2 linked regions of the Drosophila melanogaster genome follow. The protein of the gene in region 1 interacts with the protein of each later gene in a pairwise test. Each region holds a gene or a part of one and is shown in the gene's direction. Other genes may lie near its edges. The genes, in order: SkpF and CG9316.

Region 1 (3,193 bases):
GAAAAGTTTCCGGCCATCCTTGATTATGTTAACACAAGGAAAACTGATTAATACGGGTCCTGATTAGCCGCCATCCCTCCTGCAATTATGAACCAGTATCTGGGCAATCCATTGGATTTATGGATGTCGAGCTGGATAAATCAAGGAAGTGGAGTTCAGTCCCAGAGGCCACATTCCCCGCTGAACAAATAATGAAAACAAATGCCTGGCATATGACACTAAATGCAATAATGTTGATCCCGTGCCAGATCCGTGGCCGTTTGCAATTTAATTTATTGACAGTGAGTCTTTGACATTTTATTGCTCCCCAGGCCAAGTTACGACATTGTCCGCATTTCCCATTTTTCTCTCCTTTTCCCGCCTTTCCTCGCTATCGACCGACCTTTCCCCTCTGTCACTTAATTTGTCGAGCTGCTAGTCGTTTGGGTTAATTGTTTATTTGTGCGTTTTATTGACAAGCGGCAATCGTTCCTTGGATTCATCAGCTTGTAGTCCTGTCGTCCTTTCTGTGCGGCTTTTAACAAATGAGTTTTTCGTTAACAAATGGCTTTGATTTCCTGGCTCAATCAGCGCACAAAAAGTTGTCATCTAAGCTGGAAAATTATGTCATCGGAATTTGGTGACCATCGACGGTTGGACGATATCCAATGGCCTGTTGCACGAAGCCAGCCACACACCCACGTTGCCCTCGTTTTGGCTCAGAAAAAGTTTGCTTTTTTGCTGATTTCTCTATTGCTATTTGCCACAAAGACACTCAAGAAAAACAGAAGGACATAAATTCCAGGTCTAATGTCTGCACGGAGCACATCCCCATCGGCATTGACACATACGATGCGTGCATGCAGGCAAGGACATTCGTACACTTGGACTTTGGACTTTGGACATTGGAACACACAGGACTTTGGAGTCCGTAACTTTGGTGCTCGGACTTCATACCCAGATATGCGAAATCTGAAGAAACTTTGTGTTTATTGTGCCTGGCTGCTGAACAGAGAGAGAGAGAGCTGCCGAAGAAAAGAAGAGCTCAGAAAACATGGGAGCTGGGCTGGCATGTCCTTGGGATTGTCACTGGGGCGGTTATCCTGATACACGATACACTGCCAAATCGATGATGGAAGCGGAATGGACACGAGTAAACAATGAGCACACACATCAGATTGGTCAGCTTGCTCCGTTTGGCCAGCCTGGACAGCTGGAAATTCCAAGAAAAACCAAATGAATTGCCATCGCTTTGGTTGTCCAGGTAAATCAATGTCCTCCGCCAGCTGGCCTTCCGTTTTGGCCACAAGAATGGTGCAAACTTTTTGCTCGGCACGCCTGCCACGCTAAGTAATTGAACTTTTATCAAAAAATTGCACGCAGCCAGGCGGACGGAAAAATCGAAGGAAAATCGCAGGGAAAGCGATGGTAGTTCTGCCAACTATGGCCAACAAGCGACGAGAGCCACCGCAACAAGAAAAGCACATTATGCTCCTTGTTGACAAAGGACACGGGCCAATCTAGATGAGCAGAAAATGGCGAGTATCTGCTGCAAAGTGAACCCCGAGCAATGAGCGATGGTGAATTGAAAAGGGAAAATGGAGGCCAAATCCCTGGTTTTGTTTTTATTTCCGTATTCGAAATGGGCCCTAAATATTTCATATTTTTCTGTTATAACAAACAGCAATAAATTGTGCTGCAATTGAAATGTCCATTGTGTAGAACATGGTAAATACCATTGTAAGCGGCAATCAACTATTACTTATACAACAATAAATATGTTATGAAACTAAAATTGTGTATTTCTGCCAATATCTAATCGATTTTGCTCGTTATATTGAAATAAAAATGTTGTCTAAATTGTTAATAAATGCTATCTCCATTCCATGGACATTTGTTTGAATTTGATGAATCACCAATTTGTTTCCATTACGAATCTGTTCTGTTTAATTTTTAACTGTCAAGTTGGCACTGACAGATTTTCTTGAAAAGTTGAACTGTACCAGATAACCTTAAAGGAAAACCCTTTGTGGGCGAAAACGGACCATGCCAGTCATCAAATTGCAGTCCTCCGATGGCGAAATTTTCGAGACCGACATCGAGACTGCCAAGTGCTCGAGCACCATTAAGACCCTATTGGAGGATTGTCCAGTGGAAGCGGAGAACGACACTCTTATCCCGCTGCCCAATGTGAACTCGACGATCCTGAAGAAGGTCCTCATTTGGGCCAAGCATCATCGCGAGGACATTGCAGAGGAGAACGAAGAGGAAGCGGCCAAGTCCGTCGCTGTGCAGATCACCCCCTGGGACGCCGAGTTCCTGTCCATGGATCAGGGCACGCTCTTCGAACTCATCTTGGCGGCCAACTACCTGGACATTCCCAATCTGCTGAACGCCGCCTGCATGACGGTGGCCAACATGATTAAAGGCCGCACGACGGAGGAGATTCGCCAGACCTTTCACATAACCAACGATTTCTCGCCCTCCGAGGAGGATTTGATGACGATGGAGTCGGAAGTCCCGCAGGAGGACGAGGCGATAGAGTACGGCGAAATTATATAAATTCGAAGTGAACATTTTCGAAGGATTGATGCCTGTTCCGGATTAGAATGTAACTCGACATCCTTACCTATGCTCACAAAATATCACATAAATATCCTTCATATGTATCTTGACCCTCGAATGACCTTCAGGGAAAGCACACTACTTTCTTGACCGCAATTGTTCAGTACGGATTCCATTTCCATTTCCATTTTCACTTGCATTCGCCAACCGTCTGGCCGAAAACTTTCGATTGGAAAAGTTTGGCATGTGAATATGATGTGGGCTGAGTAACTCGGAAAACTTTGTCCGTGACATCCACTCACCTGGTCAGCATATTGGCGCGATTGACGGCCACCTCGGCCTCCACCCGGAACCTGTCCTGAGCATACCGGTCGACCACGCCCTCGCCCAGATTGAGCGAAGTACCAGCCACGCAGTTGGAGCCCATCAGATGCTGCTGCTCGATATACTGCAGGAACTTGGACACCAGATCGATCTTGCTGTCCCGCGCGTTAATCACGTCGGCGGTAAACTGGTTGGACTCCATGTTGTCGCCGGAATCCTCCTCCACATCGCCAATGACCAGCTGCTTGGTCTTGTCATCGACTTGCGCATCCGGCGGATAGCCGTCGTCCATGGTGACCTCGGAGGTGTCCAGTCCCGCCTCGGA
Region 2 (3,930 bases), on another chromosome or scaffold:
GGCCAATGTGGGGCTAGCAGATCTCTGTCGCACCCCCAATATGCGCTTAAAGACCATCCTAATCACGCTGAGTTGGTTTGCCAATGAGACGGTTTATCTGGGACTCAGTTATTACGGACCAGCGCTGGGCACCAATCAGTATGTCAGCTTCTTTCTGTCGGCTGTTGTGGAGCTGCCGAGCTATTTGTGCTGCTGGTACTTCATGGATACCTGGGGCAGAAGATGGCCATTGAGCTTATCAATGATATTGGGGTAGGTGTTTGACCCATCATCTTGTGTTTTTTGTGTAAAATTCGAAGTCCAACATTTTTCAGTGGCGTGGCCTGTGTGATCACTGTAATGTTGCCCGATGATGCCGTGGATGAGACCCTTGTGCTGTATCTAGTATCCAAAGCCTTGCTATCCGCCTCCTTCCTGATCATATACCCCTTTGCCGGGGAACTTTATCCCACTCAGGTTCGGGGTATCGGCATTGGTGCTTCCAGTTATATTGGAGGATTGGGTCTCATTGGCATACCTTTTATTACCTACTTGGGAAAGGACAATCTTAAACTGCCCTTGGTCATCATGGGCTTCCTTTCGATGCTGGGCGGCATGACGGGATTGCGGCTGCCGGAAACACTGCATCATCGCTTGCCGCAGACCATCGAGGAGGGCGAGGAGTTTGGCAAGAACTGGCAGTTCAAAGATTGCTGTAGATGCGCTCAAAAGCCGTGAGTTCAATGTGCATGTGGTGACCAAGGCGGGTATAAAACTAATTTAATATATATTGTGCTTACTTTTTGCAGAGAGATTTTATCTCAACCTGCGTCGTACGAGAACCTGGATGTCCTGGCTGGATCCTCCACCAATGCTTCTGAGGTGGAATTGGAGCTGCGGGACAGTCGACGGGTTCGGGAGCCGGCTCCCCGCATTGACGAGCGTACGCCCCTGGACACAACGGCCAGTGGAAGTGGGCGACCTGTTCATCGGCCCTCGATGAAGCGATTAGTGCGCCAAATGAGCGTCATGGACACCCAGAGGACGCATGATGGCACCATGCAGTTGACTCATTGGATCTAAGATTTGTAGCGACAAATCTAATGTATTGTCACATCTAGAAGAGATTTCTTAAAATTAATTAGATAAACTGCAAGGCTATTCTTTGTTTTCGCTAAAGTTTAAAATGATTGCATATAAACTATTTACTAATCTATTGCTTAACGCTAAGGGATATCTTTTTAAATATAGAACTATGGGCAGAGACTTCTTTAAAAACAAACATACAAATATAATTAATCATAAAAACTTACCATTTTTGCAGCACAATGTTAGCAATTGTCATTGTATGAAAAATAACGAAATTAATGTTTCAACAAGTTACTTAACATATAACAGCACTATTTAATTGCTTACTAATTTATTTATAATTTAAATAATAGTTCTCTAAGTAAACGCTTTTGATTCCGTGTTTTAGAAGTATTTGCTATGAGCAAATAGAGCAGCATACTTTAACTGCTTAAAATTAAATCTATAACAATTTCCTCCTTTAAATACCAGTTTTCTTTTCCTTTTCCATTACTTTTCCATTAATTATAGGGCATTGCCATTATGCCTAAGTTGTTTGCTTTTGTGAATTACAAAAGCTTTGTAAACAAAAACCGAAACTTAATTCTTCAAACATATCCGGTAAAAATAAATAAATAAATAAGTACGTGTAGCGTATATCGTATGGCGACTTCTCAATCACCGGTAATTGATTTATGCATTTATTCAGACAATTATGCAATTAATTGTTGTCAAACAAAAAGAAAACTTGCTCATGCGGTGAATAATAGAGGAATGCGCGAAATTGCCCCCACCTGTCGACCGTAAACTGCTGGCGGTCACTGTCAACCGTAGGAAGTGCCTGGACCCATGGGAATTCATAATGCTGGATCAGATCACAAATATGTTGACACCAAGGAGATCTTGCAAGCAAAAATGTAGTTTCTTAATATTGCTACTTAAGTTCAGTACGCAGTTCCAAATCCAAAGATTCGTTAAGATGGTCCTTTGTCCTAGTCTTTTTCCCTATAGATCTCTGGAGTATTTAGATTTGGATCTTGAATTACGGTATCAGGACTCTAATATTTACCCGGTTACACAAGGTCGAGCTTGATTTTCCCTTATTTCCTATCATAACATCTGGGCAGTGTCAAAAATGAATTAATCTAAATTTACGTACAAGCAAATAATCCAAAAAATGCCTAAGGCGAAAACGCATTCGAGATCAGTGAAGACTCCATTCCCAGTTCGCTCCAATCGCCCGGGTGGAGTCCAAAAAAGTGAGCCATCGCCATCGCCATCGCCATTATGCAGGACCAGTCTGCTTGATCTGCCGGAGGACATCATCCGACTGGTTCTCGAGTTTCTGCCCAGGATTACCGATAAGGTTCTGCTGGCCTGTGTGGCGCCCAAGTTCCGAGCGGCCTTCGAGGGCTGGGCGAGAGTGCAACGAAATGCTTTGGACATGGTTAGTCTGGAGACGGTGCCTCTGCCGCAATTGATCAGGTTCTTCAAGGTGGCGGGACCCTTCATCAGAGTCCTTCAAGTGGACTGTGCGTCCTACCAAAAGGAGTCCCTGCTGGTGGAGTTCGTAAAGGAATACTGCCCCAATCTGGAGGAGATTAGTTACTCGAACGCCACCGATGAGTTTCACTACCGATCGATTATGTCCAAAATGACGCACTTGAAACGGGTGACTATTGAGTGTTTGGATGCAGAGGATGTGCTCAACTTTGATATGCAGCCCAACCAGGAGCTGGAGTTTTTTGAACTGGTTAATGGTTGCTATACAGGTAGGTATGCACTGCACTCTATTTATGCGTTTGCGGGACTTTATTTTCGCAACAGGCCAAAATCTCTGCGGTTTTCCCAATCTCAAAACTTTGGTCCTTCGAGACTGTCTGCTATGGAACTCGATGGAGTTTGGAATTCCGCTTAAGTCGTTGCACACTTTGGATCTCGACGACTGTTGTTTCGAGGTTATGAATGTGAGCTTGTACCAGAAAATCGCCGAGAGCTGCACGAACTTGGTGGAACTGATCTTCTCCGGCTGCGACACCAACTTCGAGGTAATCGCCAACCTGCCCAAGCTGGAGCGCTGTACACTGAAAACCTGGATGACCTCCAACGAGCTGAATATTGGGTTCCTTACGGTTCTGGCAGAGAAACGAGGAAACAAGCTCACCCATCTGCACCTATCCGGTCAGTTCAATATCACCAATGAGCACGCCAGGTGCCTGGGACAGTTGAGTAGCCTCACGGATCTGCGGTTCAGCAACAACGATATCCTGGACGACGATCACTTCAAGTTCTTCAACGATCTCAGCCAGCTGGAGCGATTTGGTCTGACCGCGTGCGGTCGGGTGATGGACGTGGGGATGATGAGGATGTTGCGGAAGTGTCCCCAGTTGAAAGTTATTGATTTGACCGATTGCGAGCAGATCACCGAGGAGTTTGTGATCCAGGCCATTGGATTCTGCTCGAAGGGATCAGGTCGTGATGTGGTGCTCAATGTAAAGGGAACCATGATCAGGCGGCCTATATTGACGGTGGGAAAACCGGGGCGGGAGTTTCGAAAGCATATACTAACACTTTCATATTTTGCAGCATCCGGATTACGTGAATTCCTTGAATCGTCTAAAGGTTAATTTTATTTAAAACGACACCACTCGAATGGAAAATGGTAAGAAAATAAATGTCTATGAATTGTTGCAATAATTTGATCAAATTTTGTGTTGCCAAGGAATCATTTCTTATTGAACATCAAATATCAAGAGAGACACTGCCCAAAACCAATCAAATTTGATTTCTATTAATAAAAATCAGTTTAAAAGGAGTGCAAGTATTATTTTTGCCATAAGGAACCGTAGCTGTGATTTCTGGATTAGGGAATAGACGTGGTGG

Evidence for each region.
Region 2: the proteins of SkpF (region 1) and CG9316 interact in a two-hybrid assay, tested with the Drosophila melanogaster proteins (one large-scale study listed by BioGRID).

Annotation. Positions count from the first base shown.
Region 1 is NT_033778.4:23,457,519-23,460,711, reverse strand, and holds SkpF (SKP1-related F), read left to right. Parts: upstream 1-1,952; 5' UTR 1,953-2,025; coding exon 2,026-2,541; 3' UTR 2,542-2,647; downstream 2,648-3,193. Other genes in the region: CG43795 (uncharacterized protein), read right to left, coding at 2,847-3,193.
Region 2 is NT_033779.5:20,724,751-20,728,680, reverse strand, and holds the start of CG9316 (uncharacterized protein), read left to right. Parts: upstream 1-2,129; 5' UTR 2,130-2,224; coding exon 2,225-2,819; intron 2,820-2,874; coding exon 2,875-3,575; intron 3,576-3,633; coding exon 3,634-3,684; 3' UTR 3,685-3,709; intron 3,710-3,769; 3' UTR 3,770-3,930. Other genes in the region: CarT (carcinine transporter), read left to right, coding at 1-252, 315-713, 789-1,062.